3 linked regions of the Caenorhabditis elegans genome follow. The gene in region 1 interacts genetically with each later gene. Each region holds a gene or a part of one and is shown in the gene's direction. Other genes may lie near its edges.

What was found.
Region 2: changes in egl-15 (region 1) and F37A8.2 together harm fitness more than expected from each alone (negative genetic interaction), as found in Caenorhabditis elegans (one large-scale study listed by BioGRID).
Region 3: changes in egl-15 (region 1) and rpl-37.2 together harm fitness more than expected from each alone (negative genetic interaction), as found in Caenorhabditis elegans (one large-scale study listed by BioGRID).

The regions. Positions count from the first base shown.
Region 1 is NC_003284.9:11,014,245-11,023,259, forward strand, and holds the start of egl-15 (receptor protein-tyrosine kinase), read left to right. Parts: upstream 1-2,155; 5' UTR 2,156-2,196; coding exon 2,197-2,284; intron 2,285-2,337; coding exon 2,338-2,399; intron 2,400-2,446; coding exon 2,447-2,608; intron 2,609-3,191; coding exon 3,192-3,261; intron 3,262-3,335; coding exon 3,336-3,686; intron 3,687-3,700; coding exon of another isoform or gene 3,701-3,895; intron 3,896-3,970; coding exon 3,971-4,206; intron 4,207-4,280; coding exon 4,281-4,520; intron 4,521-4,568; coding exon 4,569-4,730; intron 4,731-4,776; coding exon 4,777-4,884; intron 4,885-4,933; coding exon 4,934-5,370; intron 5,371-5,438; coding exon 5,439-5,517; intron 5,518-5,572; coding exon 5,573-5,866; intron 5,867-6,042; coding exon 6,043-6,239; intron 6,240-6,289; coding exon 6,290-6,373; intron 6,374-6,905; coding exon 6,906-7,010; intron 7,011-7,064; coding exon 7,065-7,227; intron 7,228-7,272; coding exon 7,273-7,386; intron 7,387-7,478; coding exon 7,479-7,605; coding exon of another isoform or gene 7,606-7,649; and 12 more. Other genes in the region: F58A3.3 (RHDF1), read left to right, coding at 1-48, 92-168. UniProt on the Caenorhabditis elegans protein: Receptor tyrosine kinase required for larval development. May phosphorylate adapter protein soc-1 which in turn may result in the recruitment and/or activation of phosphatase ptp-2.
Region 2 is NC_003281.10:3,929,011-3,933,800, reverse strand, and holds F37A8.2 (RING-type domain-containing protein), read left to right. Parts: upstream 1-2,277; 5' UTR 2,278-2,375; coding exon 2,376-2,471; intron 2,472-2,593; coding exon 2,594-2,677; intron 2,678-2,723; coding exon 2,724-2,863; intron 2,864-2,911; coding exon 2,912-3,027; intron 3,028-3,144; coding exon 3,145-3,229; intron 3,230-3,283; coding exon 3,284-3,511; intron 3,512-3,556; coding exon 3,557-3,712; intron 3,713-3,769; coding exon 3,770-3,976; intron 3,977-4,177; coding exon 4,178-4,250; 3' UTR 4,251-4,290; downstream 4,291-4,790. Other genes in the region: nlp-10 (Neuropeptide-Like Protein), read left to right, coding at 1-21; F37A8.1 (mRNA 5'-triphosphatase), read right to left, coding at 4,673-4,790.
Region 3 is NC_003281.10:3,525,984-3,529,417, forward strand, and holds rpl-37.2 (Large ribosomal subunit protein eL37), read left to right. Parts: upstream 1-2,658; coding exon 2,659-2,934; downstream 2,935-3,434. Other genes in the region: pitp-1 (DDHD domain-containing protein), read right to left, coding at 136-626, 1,730-1,862. UniProt on the Caenorhabditis elegans protein: Binds to the 23S rRNA.

The DNA.
Region 1 (9,015 bases):
GCAAATTTCATCATGGATATACACGGCAGTTCAATCTTATTGGTCAAGGTATTTGGTTTATTAAACATTCGTGTTGCAATTCTGTATTTAGGAGTTCTGTTCTTCCAAGTTGATATGGCTGGTACATTACGGGACGACGGAAAATTGTGGCTTGACTGCCTGAATTAACAGTTGCCACACATATCGTTTAATGATAATTGTAAGCTTTATTGTATCCATTTCATTGTTTTCATTCAATTTTAGATTGCTTTAATAAATAGAAGAGATTTACGGCGTTAAATCATTTGTTACTTGTTTTGTCCTCCTCGTGACATTGAATGAGGTGGTGCCGTTCCACTGCGCGTGATATATGATACGCAGCCAATTCTCGGTAGACCCGCTTACTTCTTCGACCTTTCGCATTTAATTGCATTCTGATATCTATTTTCATATTGACCACATGTTGTTCACCTGCACACTGTCAAAATGACTCATTTACAATAACTTTTCGCGTTCGAGATTTATAAAGGAATGCAACACAAACAGGTGCGCGTAAATAAAGAAAAACCGAAATTGAATTAGCTTTTGCATCTAAATATGTCGCCTACAATTATCCCGTGTTCTATCATTTTTGGCGACTGACTGCCTTATGCGCAATGCCCAATCACTAACCCCTTTTCTTTTTAACGCATCTCTTTTCTCATCATTGTCCATTCTCGTTTATCTCTCCTTCTTTTTCTAATTCCCTTGATTTTCTCTCACTTTCTGATTGCATTTTTCTATATTGATTAGCCTGTAGACACATACCAAATACTCCAAAAAATAAGACCCACAGCAACAAAAAACCGACGCCTATGTTGTCGGTTACCGTCTCATGATTGTAATGCCCCCTTCTCTTTTTCTTATCACTCTTTTCTAATGGAATTCTTGGGGGCAACAAACTGGTTTAATGACAAAATTGAAACAAGAAATCCATTCACCTACCTGTTAAAATTGAGTAAATGATGTGACATTTGAATTAATTAGACTCGCAACTAACCATCTCGTATCCGCGATAAGCATCTCTTGGAATGTTGGTCACACCCTGTTGTGCAACTATTAAGTTTTGAAATTACAATTTTATAATACATAACTTCTACAAAAAAGTGCCTAGAAATCGCACAGATTAAATTACACTTCAATAATCAAAAAGCTGGTTTATAACTAAATGTTCTAATCATTAATCACAACCTAAGTTTTTTATGAACATTTTCTTTTTATTTTTTTAGGAATATTTAGATAGAATGTTTCACTAAAGAAGTATCTCATTATTTTGAAAACTAGCCTTATAATCTCAAATTTGATCTAATTTAAACTATTTTATATGCAATGTATGACGTTGGTTTTGAAAAGTTACCATAGCGTTATTACGCTTACATCAGCTGCTAAAATTTGTTTTTATTATACATAACGAGTTTTTATAAAACCTCAAATTGCTCTAAAAAAATTACATAACTCTATAACATAGCCGTGATCATTGAAAAGATAGACCCACTTTATTCGCTATATCATACTGCAAGACTAGCAATAAAAAGTTACATTGTGTCCGGAAATGTTGAAAGGTTTTTGTTTCCGTAACATATGCACTGCATCCGGAAGAAACACCTCCAGATGTGACTTCTTATTCAAGGTTTTGCTTCGATATCAATCGAAACGGCATTGTGTCATTCCACCTTGTCGGCGAAGACAACGAATCCACAACATCTTAACATCTGGACGTCTTTCGTCGTCTCAATTTGACGCTCGTTCACTTTTTACTCTTTTTATTATCGCCCTCCGCTCGCTGCTCGTTTTTTTTTTCTATGAGCAACATATGCGTAAATTTAGACGGTTCTAATTATGATTTGCTTTAGTTTCTTGATTGTTCCCAGAGATCATTAGACCTTATGACCCAGAGGGTCGGAACTTTTGAAAACGTTGCGCGGGTGTCGCCAATTTGTTACATATGGTGGTGGGGTATGGAGCCAGTAATATATAACCCATGGCTCGCGCAGAGGTACCAGTAAGAACCCAACAAATAAATCTTTGTACCGGTCTGATTCACCTCTCTCACATGTATTCAATTTCAAAAGTTTCACAGCTTCTCCTTCTGAGTGTTTTAATATTTTGATTATTAGTAGATAAATAGTAGATACAAAAGATTGCAGAAATTCGAATGTTTGCCTGATACATATCATCATGAGTTATTTCCTTGCATCCTGCCTCGGTGTGGGCTTACTTTCTACAGTTTCTTGTTCTCTTCAAGGATTGACCAGTCATTACAGAGGTAAGAGAGTTGTCACAAAATCTAATTTATTTTCATATTATTCGATTTTACAGAAAATATTCCCCGTTTCAAGCATGTAGCAAACGAAAGATACGAAGTATTTCTTGGAGATGAGGTTTGGTGGAACAAATATTTAACAGCAATAGATGTACACAGTTTTAGATAAAATTTGACTGTCAAACCGCGGCGTCAAAGATTTCTGCCTTTGTCGAATGGTATCGTAATGACAAGTTACTCAAAAATGATCAAATAGATAAAGACAAAATTCGGAAAGATAATAACAGGATGATGCTTCACTTGAAGAATATTGATGTTTCAGATCAGGTATATGATTTTTTATTATTTTTGTGGTTTTTTTTTTGTTGAACAATGTGGTTAGAACACCAAGTATCGCATTTCTCCTATTAGAATTGCATGCATTTCTATTTTTTTAATTGACAATTTAGAGTGCAAAGACTGATAGGAATTCAAGACTAACATACACTATGAAACTGTATTTCGATGTCTCGTTTCAAATTTGGTTTTTCTTGTTTTTAACCTAAAATACTGGAGTTACCTAAAATACCGTAAAGAAACAATACAACATGATAATTAAAATGATTTAATGTTTGAAAAATGTTTGGAATTATTAAAAAAAAACATTTAACCAATAAAAAATATCTTGTAGATGCTAAAGTTTGTGTGATATCTCTTGCGCGTGTTTAGTTCTGCAAGAATAATATGAAAGAAAATAGGAAAAAAAACTATAACCGACTACCATGAGTTTTAAGCATCATCAAAAATATATATTAATTCAAAAATACCAACAAACTGAGAACTTTTTTCAGCAGTTTTTGACTCTGTCAACTTAAAAAAAAACGTTTATTTAAAAACGTTTAAAAACGTTTAAAAACTAATATTTTTGCAGGGTCTTTGGTCTTGCCGCGTACACAACGCATATGGACAAATATCACGAAATTTTACAGTTGAAGTTATTGGTAAGTATCTCTATTGCTCGATTCTTTGCAGTGCAAGCATAATTTCTTCCATGCATGGTGTGCTTTGTTTTCAGACTTTTGTGATTACTTCCTGTTTCCCGATATTCATCATTTGAACATTCCGATGGAATGTGTTTGTTTATGGAAATACAACAAAGAAGCAAAACGATCTGATGTGAACTATGCAGCGGTAACAGGAGAAGTCTGCTCAAAGTACGCATCTCGCATGATAAATAGAGCACGAAAACCGTTGCCAATGATTCCTTGCTTTGGTGATCACTGCAAAGAATTTGACACTACTCCTGTTTCGGATTTTGGTTTACCTGGGAAACCCGAGGACGATCCTTTAGTAAAGCGTGTTGTTTTGAAAAAAGATGATGTGATTGTGCCCGTGCATGACTCTGAAGAAAGTCCATCCGAATCCAGTAAGTTATTTCAGATCCACTTAAACTGTTCGATTGGCTCACTGAGCATCGAGTATTCGATATTAGTCATTTATTGCCAAAATTGCTACCTCCTGCGGAAATGAGGAGAGTGAAAAGCCAATTGGGCGGATGGGAGAAGATGAATAATGAACAGAAAATTGTTCGAGCCAGGCACATTCTGAGATTAAGACAGATCAATCATGCTTTGGGTAGGCTACATCAGTGGTTGAATTATTTTAAATGCTTCATTTTCTTCTTATATATCTCAGTAAACTTGTTTTTAGGAACCGAATTTATCAATGCTGATGAAAAAGAAAACAAAGAAGACGAAGAAGAAGACTATAGTGTTTCACAACCGGTTGCTCCAGATGCGGGGCTCACTGAGCTGAATATTACTGCGGAAGAGCCACCATATTTCAAGTCAAACGACAACATTGTATTGTTTAATGAAACGCATGCTCTACCAGCAGGACGAACATTGAAACTTAATTGTCGCGCAAAAGGATACCCTGAGCCACAGGTACGATTCATGAAAAACTTGAAATTTTTCACGTAAAGAAACATTGGATTTTCAATCAATGCATTTGATCACAGATTATCTGGTACAAAAACGGCAAAATGTTGAAGAAAAGTAGTGCTCGGTCCGGCGGATACGAATTCAAGTTCAATAGATGGTCTTTAGAAGTGGAAGATGCTGTCGTAGCAGATTCTGGGGAGTTTCATTGTGAAGCATTGAACAAAGTTGGAAGTGCAAAAAAGTATTTCCATGTGATCATAGTCAACAGAATGAGAAGACCGCCCATTATCGTTCCGAATATTTTGGCTAATCAATCAGTAAGATTTTGCCTCACGGCATCTATAGTTTCAATGTTTTATATTTAGGTAAATATTAATGACACTGCCACATTCCACTGCAAAGTTGTCTCTGACTTATTGCCTCATATTATTTGGGTACGCATCAACAAAATCAATGGGTCGTATAGCTACTACAACAATTCAGCTGAAGAGTATATGTTCAATTACACAGAGATGGACACTTTTGATGTATGTTATGAAACATGTTCTCATCTATCAAAAAGTGTCGTTTCAGAAAGCGCACGTCCATCACGTTGGTGATGAATCGACGCTTACTATTTTCAATGTGTCGCTGGATGATCAGGGAATATATGCTTGTCTCAGTGGAAACTCACTGGGGATGGTAAGAAATTGATTGAACCTTCTAGTTGAACAAATTAAGAGTTTTACAGTCGATGGCGAATGCCACTTTAACGGTGAATGAGTTTATGGCCATACATTTGCTCACTGGTGACGAACCGAAGATAGATAGATGGACAACATCCGATTATATATTTACAACAATTCTGCTTTTCTTACTGCTTGCTGCAACATTATTTGGAATTTTGTTTATGGTGTGCAAACAAACACTACACAAAAAAGGATTCATGGATGATACTGTTGGATTAGTGGCAAGAAAAAAAAGAGTCGTAGTTAGCAAAAGGCCAATGAATGAAGATAATGAGAATTCGGATGATGAGCCATCACCTTATCAAATTCAAATAATAGAGACTCCAATTACAAAGAAAGAAGCAGCGAGAAAACAAAGAAAACGTATGAATTCAGAAAACACTGTTCTTTCGGAATACGAGGTTGATTCGGATCCAGTTTGGGAAGTTGAAAGATCAAAGTGGGTCAAATCTTTAATACATTCAGCCAGACAAGAATTCAATTTAAACATTAAATTTCAACGTTTAGATTGAGTTTGGTTCACATGCTTGGCGAGGGAGCATTTGGAGAAGTTTGGAAAGCAACATACAAAGAAACAGAAAACAATGTAATTTTGGGAAAACAAAAAAACAAGAAAATCTGAAATTTTAATTGCGTTTCAGGAAATCGCAGTTGCTGTCAAAAAATTGAAAATGTCAGCTCACGAAAAAGAGCTCATTGACTTGGTCAGTGAAATGGAAACATTCAAAGTTATAGGAGAACATGAGAACGTGTTGCGATTGATTGGATGCTGTACAGGCGCTGGTCCGCTTTATGTCGTTGTTGAGCTGTGCAAGCATGGGAATTTGCGCGATTTCTTGAGAGCACATAGACCTAAGGAAGAGAAGGCAAAAAAGTCCAGCCAAGAATTGACGGATTATTTGGAACCACGAAAAGCATCTGATAAGGATGACATTGTGAGTGGCTTATGTTTTGAATAAAATATGATTTTTTCCACTGACAAAATTTGAAATACTCATCAAACTTTGAAAATCTTGTAGAAAAGCGTTTTCCTGATTGCTCATTATCAGTAAACCTGTCTTAGTCAGTTTTAAATTTACCAGAGTAATTTTGCTGAAATTTTCATTTTTAGGAGCTCATACCAAATTTGACACAACGCCATCTTGTACAATTTGCTTGGCAAGTGGCTCAAGGAATGAACTTCTTGGCATCAAAGAAGATCATACATCGTGATTTGGCAGCAAGAAATGTTCTCGTCGGTGATGGACACGTTCTGAAAATATCGGATTTTGGACTATCGAGAGATGTGCACTGTAACGATTATTATAGGTTGTAACATTATTCCTAATGATATATTACTGATGATATATTACTTCCAGAAAACGTGGAAACGGCAGACTTCCCATTAAATGGATGGCTTTAGAAGCGTTGGACTCAAATGTATACACCGTGGAAAGTGATGTGTGAGTAATGGTTTTCTGTGGTAGAAAAGTTTCGTGGAGGTCCTTTCCAGGTTCACGTTTGAAAAAAATTGATTTTTCAATATAATCACATATGTCTTATTTGTCTTTTCACACAAGTTAATCATCCTGAGTCAACCTGAGCATCTGAATCGGGATAGCTGTATATTTATTTTACTTATTTTGGGTTTTTAGGATACAACGTTTTAGGATTTTAATTTAGGGAAAAACATTAAACATAAATATATTTGTGATATGTCTGAATTGAAGTTGTTTCCCGCCTGTGGAAAAATAGTTATAAAAAACTATTGAACGACAATTTAATTTAACAAAAAATATATTATTCAAATTTGAATATCAAAAAAAAAAAATACTATTGCTTCCAAAACTATCACTCTGTGAACAATGCATTCACCATTTTTCTTGGCACGCTTTTATTTCAGTTTTCCATTTACATTTTTTGGGGCAATTTTAGGGCACGACAGTGGTTGTGTACCAAAATTAATACTATAATGACTCATTGATACTTTTGTAGATGGTCATATGGAGTTCTCCTTTGGGAAATCATGACACTTGGTGGAACTCCCTATCCAACGATTGCCATGCCTGAACTCTATGCTAACCTCAAAGAAGGATACAGGTGAAAATATTGAGAAAAACATGCAAATCTCACCTGTCTGACATGTTTTTGCAGAATGGAGCCACCACATTTATGTCCCCAAGAAGTCTACCATTTGATGTGCAGCTGCTGGAGAGAAAAATTGGAAGAACGACCATCTTTTAAAACAATCGTAGATTATTTGGATTGGATGTTAACAATGACAAATGAGACTATTGAGGGATCACAAGAATTTAATGTAAGGTCATACATCTGTGACAACATTTTTGAGGATATTTTCCAGGATCAATTTTTCTCCGAAAGATCCACGGCATCAGGTCCAGTTTCTCCTATGGAGTCATTCCAGAAAAAGAGAAAACATCGCCCTCTTTCAGCTCCAGTGAATCTTCCATCAGAGGTAGATCAAAACGTAATTTCGTACATAACGTATTTAAATTTTAAAAGAATTTAACCTATGAATTCGGAATCCATAAAGCACTGTTTTTGCAGCCACAACACACAATTTGCGACGACTATGAGTCCAATTTTTCTGTAGAACCACCCAATGATCCGAATCATCTCTACTGCAATGACAATATGCTGAAAAATCACATTATTACACCGGAAACCTCTCAACGTATTCCATCAAACAACAATAGCATGAGCAAACCCGAATTTTGACCGTTTTTAGTGTACATCCACAAAGTGCTCAACGAACCAATCGGAAACGGGTATGTTCGACAAGATAAATTAGCTCGTGCCGTCAGCGGTGTTGCCAACCAATCTCTCGACTCTGCCCTCGGTTCACCAGCTTGGCCTTCGTACGACCGTCCCTCTAACAAAGCTTCTTGTTTAGGTTCGTTTTCAGTTCGCTACTGACATTTAAGTTCAGGGCAACGATTTCAATGAATTTATAGATGATGAGAAGCATCACTACTATTACTCATAGTAGTCTCTCCGCCGTTATCAGATGTCATTTAAAAGTCCATTGTGGTAATCATGTTTCCGTGTTGTGTGTTTTTGTCCTGTAACATTTTTGTTTGGTGTAATGGGTTGCAGAACATCAAATCACATAAGTTAGCTTACAGATTTGCCTCCGTCAAGTGTCCAGACTAACATGACACTTATAAATGTTGTGCTATGTAACCTTTAAAGTTTCATTTGCAGATCAAACTCACCAGTATTATAATACAACGTCTAAAATTCAATATCTTCATTTTACCTTCGATGATCCAGATTGTATGACTAGGCAAGTATCGAAACAAATTTTAATAATTAGTAAACAAACTTGCTAGATAAAAACAGCCAATAGAGTTTTTTTATTGTTTAAAAACTTTACATTAAAATAAAACCTGAAATTTAAGTTGATAAATATGATACAGTCACACTTACTATTAGTTCAAAAATGTTGATCTTTCAAAATCTCGAATTCAACTAGAACTTGAATAATTTTTCACACATTAATTCCATCACAATTAGTTCTAAACCTAAAAATTAAAAAGCTAACGTTTTAATTTCTAAAAGAGAAGAAACACTTCAAAATGTTTATCTTTAGAACTTGTACGTGTAGGAGCGGCCCAATTATCACCCTCTTTTGCATAATTTTAGGAAAATTATTGTTTACCAGTTACTGAAACAGTTCTTAAATGATCATAGAAAAGCGTAAAAATTAACCAAAATCCGAAATAAAATGTGTCAATAAAAACAATTATAAAACTGAAGTTGTTCTTTTACTTTTAGATCAAGAGATTCTGCAATATTCGAGGAATCATATCATCCTAACTATATCCAGTCACATCCACTCTACTCGAAAATCATAATCAAAAAGAACATGTGAGTGCCAATTCTGGCATGAAAACACTACTACAGAGTTCAGCGAACTTCTTCTTTTCAGGACGCCTCGCAACCCGTTGCCGACAAAGGAAACTATTGTCTAACTTCGTTTTTGACTACTTTTTTCGTCCTCTTTTCTTTGTTTGCTGCTTGCTATGATCTAGTCATTTTTGACCAGATTTCTGCTTTACTTTTCCTTCTCCACACTTATGCT
Region 2 (4,790 bases), on another chromosome or scaffold:
GGTGGTATGTACGGACGATGATGATTTGTGCTGCATTTTCTGGGAAATTTCAATTATTATCTCTTTGCTCCATCCATTTTTTTTAAAACCAGATCACTCTGTTTCTTTTACTCTTTTCTCTTCCACATCCTCTATCGATCTCAATCTATCTGATCTCATTCCAATTGGGGGATTTATGATGACAATGGATTTTTTATCCAATAAAAAGTGCGTTAGGATCGATGTTTTTTTATTGTTTTTTTTTTTTTGATTTCAAAATTTGAGGATCATTTGTCAAACAATACAAGGTGGACAAATTCGGTACCGATGAGATGTGGAAATTGATTACAAATTGATTGTTAGTTGAACCATCCGGGGCACTGAAAAGTATATTTCTGCGTATAAAAAATCTTCGAAATCTAGGCATGGCTTTCGCGGACTGCATTCGCGTTTCAGGTCTGTAATTTGAGGCAAAATTGACCAAACAAATATCATAATAAAAGTTACCAACCTGTGATCATTCTCATTGGGTCTCTAATAACAAAACCATATGCATCTAAATCTTTGAGCCTTCCTCTTAATTTCACGAATGCTTTCTCAAAGAATGCGGGCCACAATTCATACTTGTTCACATTGATCAACGGATCTCCAGTCCCAGTCACAAGTGGAAAAAAGAATCCAATTTGATTAGTTTCCATTCTCCGTCTACCAGCAATCCAAAGCCAATTTAGTTTGATTCTTCAGAAGCTGCATTTTCCAAGATACTCACTTTATCTGTACCAAGCCATTGTTTCTCTATTTCTCAGGCAAGATAAATCATTTTGATTTGTCATTGCGGCCAGAGATGCAGCTATATTACTGCCATAAGCAATTTCCTGAAATCTGTAATATAGCCGATATTTCAGTATTACAACTTACAGATGTTACTCTGAACTGCTTGAGAATTTTATTGTACAAGCAATATAACGGATCAGCGAATGATTTATAAATTACCTCCTCTTCACCACATTCGAGATTGATTTTTGTTCGGTAGAAAATGTGACATCGACGTAACTGACTCCGGATTTTCTGACAAACTTAATACGCACGAAGGGAAAGCAACCGCGTGCGTGTCTTATGCCTACCTACCGGTGCCTACCTGACTAAATACTTGCTTGCCTACCTACAAGCTTTGCGCGCACTGCAACTTTTTTCGAACGAGGGACGAGGCAAAAAGGGACGAGGCAACAATTTCCAAGTGAAAAAATTGTGAATTCAGTCGGCAAGTAGCAGTGAAAGTGGGCAATGTAATATGATGGATTACGGCTATACAAAACCCAAACTTTTTCTGAAACATGATATATATGCTTTTAAGATGCTGAAAGTACCTGATTTTCATAACGAGACAGCTAAAAAAGTTTTTAGATTTTCAAAATTCAACATTTTGTGCCAAAATCTCGACTTTTTTACCAAAAAAGTTGAATTTTGAAAATCTCAAAACTTTTTCAGCTGTCTCGTTATGAAAATCAGGTACTTTTAGCATCTAAACATCTATGTATCATGTTTGGGGAAAAGTTTGGGTTTTGTATTCCCGTAATCCATCATATTACATTGACCACTTTCACCGCTACTTGCCGGCTGAATTCACAATTTTTTCACTTGGAAATTATTTTCGCATTAACAAAAAATATGTATTTATCAGTTTTAATAATAAAACACGGAAAAAATTGGTGAAAACACAAGAAAACAAAGCAAGTAGAAAATGTCGTAAAATGCGGTGTATTGTGTGCAAACACCGATTTTTCGCATTTTTTCTCAGCCCTCGTTCGAAAAAAGTTGCAGTGATTTGCGTGATTCACGTTTAGTCTGTCATAGGTGGACAACTAGCAATTCGTGTGTAACCTGCTAATATGAAAGTAGCAACCATATAACCGTAAATGAAAAAATGGCTTCATATTTCCTTGAAAAACACTCTAAAACATGAACATGTTTTGACAACATAGTTGTCGGTTGCCAAAAGTGTTTCCGTTCGGCAACTCCGGCAGCACCCGTTGCCGCACAGCAACTAGCATACATGTTCTGTCGCCCGCAATTCTGATAGGAAAAACTCTGAAAATATAACCTCACTATCAGAGACTTGCGCAATTGAATTCTTTGTCTCCTTCCTTGAAAACTTCTTACATTGGAATTGTTTCACGTGTTTCACATGTTTCATTTTCGTTTTTCTTTTGTTCAAATGTTAATTTGATTATAGTTCAATATGTTCTGCGTGACCCATTCTATTTTCACATGAACTTTTTGCAATCAGAACAAAATAACAAGATGTTGCCAACAACTCGACTTTTGGATTTATTTCACATTTTTCAAATATTCATCGTTCTCGATATCAAAATAAAGACAAGGAAGCGCGGTAAACGATGACTGAATTCGAATCGACTGAAAACCAGAAACCGACTATGCTCGCCTCACTCGATCATCTTAGCCTACGGAATTGGGCATCGCCATTTGAAGAGGTATGTTTGTATATTGCCTCCCGACGTTTCCAGGGTTTCTCGTTTTTAGCCGACCCGGTTTGGGTTATTGAGTGGAATTCCGTTGCCCGGCATCTGCCGGGTCACTAAAATGATATTTTCAGGCTAGCACACCCCCAACATCTGATGATAGTTTCCAGTCGTCCTCTGAAGACAATCTTAGCTTGCGAAACTGGGCGCCCCTTTCAGTAAGCTCCTCTTCCGGAAAGACTATTCAATCTCCATAATTTTCAGCCAAATCCAGAAACAGAGAAATCTGCAAAGTCTCTGAGAAACTACAGCACAAATCCTCTGATCCCTTCGTACATCTGTGATTTGTGCGAGTCTCCAAAGACCTCAGAGCTTCGAGTTGCCCACGATGCTCCGACTTTCCAGTTCGTTTGAATCTCTAGCACTCAAATTGACTTTTTATGGGATTTCAGAACCACTTACTCCTATTCTATTAGTTGGGATGTGGAGATGGATGATGTGGAACACTATAGAAATGTCATGGAAACTGTTTCGAAAAGCTCTGCCATTTCTTCAAGATCTTCATTTGGTTAGTTTTTGGAAGCCTAAATCGGAATAAGTCAGCTGCTTAGAACCCTTCATAACGTTGCCACCGACACCTTACTTCACCTGGCTTCGCTTTCCGATTACATGATAAAAATTTCAGGAGGCGCCCCATCTCCAGTGGTTGTCAAGTGTGATGGGCCTTGCAAGAAGGAGTTCCCATCGAACTTGCTGAGCACGATTGGAAGGTGAGTAACCCGTTAAACATGACCCAAGTAATAATAAAAATGATGTGGTTCGAGATGTGGTCACTACCTCTGTACCGCATGTTTCGACATTGTGAAGAACGCGGATGGAACATACGGATGCAGTTCTCAGCAATGCTACTGGAAGGGATCATCACGTCAGGAGAGTAAGAAGTACTATGAGAAGGATATTTGTCGAAAGCAAAGAGCAAAGGCACTGGGTATGAAAGATCTTGGAATAGATGTGAAGCCGGCTTCTTCTGCAAGCTCAAATCCGATCAAAGAGTGAGCGAGAAGCATCCGACAGAGAACATAAATAAGAATTTCCAGAACATCCGATTCTTCATCTGAAACTAACTGTTCTCTGTCTTCTGGAACAGTTTCCTTCAACCATAGAATGTTGAACTCATTGACTCCTGTCGCCGAAAATTCCGTTGCAATCATGATGGTGCTCGTGGAGCCGGTCGAGGTGTACGGCATTGTTCAGTGAGTTTTAAAATATTTATCATTTTCAACTATTTTCTAATATCCCACTTTTTGCAGTAGCTACGTAAAAATGAGCTTCCCACTCAACACGAATCTTGCCAAAGCTCTTGGGGCAATGTTGCATCGGAAGAAGAAAGTTCTCGGAGACAATGTGGCAAATGGACAACTGTATTTTGGATTCGTGAATGATGATGAAAAGATTGGTATGCGTCGTATCAAATCGAATTATTATGATAGCTTGATGGTTGCGGAGATTCCAAAATTGTAAGTTTTAGTTTCCAATTTATAAGCTAATTTTATTAGTTTCTTATATGGAACTTGCTCTTGTCTTTATAAAAAAAGGCTGCGGCGCCGCATCTGCCTGGTTACACGATCTAAGTTGTGGAACCCGTTTAATGTCGGACGCTATCAGATGAGTGTTCGGGCACTCGGAAGTTTCTTTCACAACCTCAAAATAATTTTCAGTGATGATCGTGTCGTTCTCATCTTTGATGTCGGAGATTATGTGGCTCGTGGATTCAAGATTTATTTGGAATGAACTTGTTTCGTTTTTATGAATAAAAGTTTGAAGGTCTGCGTTTGTGTATAGGCTGCTGTGTTTTTGAAAACGCGTTTAACATAATCTGTATTCCAATAAAAGTTTCTGGTCTCGATCCTAAAACACCTTGTTTAGTAGAAATAGATGGGAAGAGGTCAAAAAGTTGTACGTCGCCGTGGTTGTTAGAGTTGAGGAATACATGTTTGAAGATCCAAGGGATCAGCTCATTGTTGGAAGTAACTGAATTGGCAGCATTGAAGTCTCCACAACACAATTGCAGATCTTCGAACAAAAATCTGGGCTTTTTCTAGATATCTATTCATCGATGAATGACAATGCTTGTTGTGACTATAATATAAATTATTTTCAAGAAGTTTCTCAGCAACATTTTCAAGAACAAGGTAGAGAAGGCAGATTCTCAATCAATGATTTCGGATAGACAAGATCAAGACAGACAAGGTGCGATCGATCTCCAACTTCAATTTCTTCTTCTCATCACGATCCGGAATTGTCACCTCGACATCCAACTCCAAAGTCACT
Region 3 (3,434 bases), on another chromosome or scaffold:
AGGAATTTATTTCATTTTGAAATTTGGAATTTTTGGGCTACTTTGAGTGTAATACGGAAAACACTTATCAGGTTCTCCTCCAAAAAAAACCGAAAAAAAATGTTTCGATGCGCCATGTCCATTTCTCTCACTTACCCATTCATCCTGCCACGCCCACGCCTGTCGATGTGCTCTCATCATGGTATTCCTCAGTGCCAAATCATGAATCCATCTCTCGGCTCTCGTCTGCATACCCCAGTATCGAAACTCGACTTTACATAATTTATACGCACACATAATGGGTAGACCTTTCTTCAAATGTTCTGCAACCCAATCGTCATTTAATGGTCCTCGATTTGTTGTCTCGGAACGATAGAGCTTTGGATCTTCTTCTGCACAATAATCATGTGATGAAATGGGATCTTTCACAAAATCCATATAATCAATTATTCGAGTAGATTTGTCCTTTTCGTTCAAATTGAACACATTCTCCTGTTGACCATGATCATCGAAATAGAGTGTCTCAACTTCCAGACTGAACCTATCCATCATTGGGGTTGAATACCGTGTCTTTGTCACTGGATATGCATTCCATGATTCTTCATGTGCTTCTAATGCGTTTGTTGGGAGCACTGTTCGGATCCAGGCTGGAAAAAATGAAATATTGAGTTTTGGAGGAAGATTTTTTAGGAGTTGTGTTTTTGTGAAATTCTTGGAACTTTTTTGGCACAAAATTACAGAAAAAATCCAACAAAAAACTATTTTTTTACAATTTTGCAAAAAAATAGGAAGGACCAAATAGTTTTAAATTCCCGCGGAAATGAATTAAAAAAAAATTTTCTGGTTAAATTCATCGGCAAAATTTTATGTTATAAGATTAGTACATTTTAAGATTCTAACAGATTTTTCGGTATAGAAAACTTGAAAACCAGAACTATCGCCGAGCTCTAATACTTTTTTTTGCTGAAAAATTCCTGAAAATTTGGCATACCAAGTTTCATATTTTATAACAGAGAAAAACAATTATTATAGGAAAATTAATAAATAAAAAAAAACTAAGAAATCTTACTTACTACCTATTAGTAAATTCAAAAAATAAAAATAAAACTTAGAACAATTCAATAAATTTTTTAAAACTTTTTTCTCACATTTAAATTTTTTTTCAAAACTGTCTAAAACCTATTATACAAATACTTCTTTTTGGAATTTATTTATTTTATTTATTTGAATACGATTTAATTATCGTGAAGAGAATGTAATGCACAAAAAAATAAAATACAAATACACAAAAAAGAGAAAATACAAGTAAGAAATACAAATAATAGGAATTAAATTTTTTTTTGGAATTTGGAATATTTGGTCTAGGTTACCATAAAGATTATGAAAATTTGTCAAAAACATTTTCCAATTATTTTTAAAAACATTATCTAAAAATAATTTTTTTCGAATGGAATTGAATTTTGAACGCGCTTTGATCGGCAGTAAATTATAAAAAATCAATTTTAAAAAATTAATATTTTCTTTTTTAATAGAAAAAAAATCAAAAGACCGGCAATTTCTGACCCCTTCCTCTCATTTTCACCCCGTAATTTGATATGAGCAGCGGCGTGAGATTCCAATTTCTCTTAAAAAGAAAAGAGTAGTAAATTGTGAATAATTCAGAGCAAAAAAAATCTCATATTCTCTCATCAAAAAAGAAAAAAAACACTTCCTTCCCCACTATTTTGCAATTCAAATAATGTGAACAAACCGGGAATTCTACTTCCAATATGATAGATCTTAAATGTATACTGTCCACTGCCACCGGGTCCATCTGTATACGGCTTGTTGCTAATGATCTCTACTCCTGAATCTTGACCGTGAGAATCCAGACGACTTTTTTTCTGCAAAAAATATGCATAGATGAAATTTCTGACAATAATATGTAGAAAACTGTGAAAACAGAGCGTTTTGAACTCGTTTAATGCAATTAATAGGCTTTTTTTCAAGCTTTAATACCTCGAGACTTGATTACAAAAAATTGAACTTTTACGCAAAAAAATGTTTCCAGAAACTTTAATTTTCCTACATATAAAAATTTTTAAAAAATAATTTATCAACTAACTCTTCCTAATTCAAAAATATTTTGTTTTCCCCAAAATTATGTTTCCTCATCGATGCACCATGTAATTTCACACATGGCTTCTCCCATTTCTTGCTCCTTCAAGACTTTTTAAAAGCTTTTTCCTTTTTTCTTTTTCTCTCATTTTAGGGCCACTTTGTCGTCAACAATTTGTTGCCATTTCAAGCGTCACATCAATTAGGAGGTCAACTACTGGCTTTAGTAACTCCCAGTGAAGCTTCATGTGAAAGACAAAATGTCAACTTTCCGATTGAACAAACATTTTGCGTTTTTTTTTGGGTGGAAACTAGAGGTCTCAATGACAAGGTCACAGAGCACAATTGAGCACACAATTGGTTTAGAGTTCAGACTCGAAAAAGATCAGTTTGGGAAAGTTGAACATTTGTAATGTTTTGAGTTTTGATTTTTGGAATTTTGCGAAAAAAGGAACTAAAAATATATATTTTTTGGTCAAAATTTGACAAAAAAAAGGTTTTTCTAAATTAAAACTTAAATGATATATAAATATTTTTCTGAATTTCCAAATTTTCACAGTAATACAAATTACCCAGTTTGAGATGACTAAGGGTACTCAAGCTTTCGGAAAGAAGCACGTTAAGTCTCACACGCTTTGCAAGCGTTGCGGAAAGTCATCGTTCCATATCCAGAAGAAGCGTTGCGCTTCCTGCGGATATCAAGATGCCAAGAAGAGAACCTACAACTGGGGAGCCAAGTCCATCCGCAGACGCACCACCGGAACCGGCCGCACCCGTCATCTGAGAGACGTCAACGCTCGCTTCAGAAACGGATTCCGCGGAACAACTCCAAAGCCACGCGCTCAACCAACCAACTAATTTTTTGCTGTTAATTGTTGACAATAAACTGTCTACGTTCCAAAAAAAAAATTAACAAATAAATCAGAAAAATTTCAAAATTTGGCCAAATTTTAATTTTTAATTTTTTTGCGATAGAAAGCATTTTTGAGTTTTCAGAAGTTGCCGAAAATATTCATTTTTTTCAAAATTTTTAGAACATTTTCCAAAAAATTCAAAAGCAGGTCTAAAAATGATTTTTTCGTTTTTTTCAGAATTTCTAGTTTTCGACAAAAATATGTTGAGAAAAAAATGTTGAAAAAGGGGCCAACTTTCAGGTTTTTCAAAAATATATATGTCAAAGTCTTTAAAAAATCGGGTAATTTTTGAAATTTTGTGAAAATACAAATTTTAAACAATTCCAAAAGAAATCACAAATTTGACAATTTTCAGAAGTTGAAGGAAATATTAATTTTTTCAAAACATTTATTTTAAATATAAAATTGTTTTAATATACTTTCAGAACTTTTAAAATTTGGGAA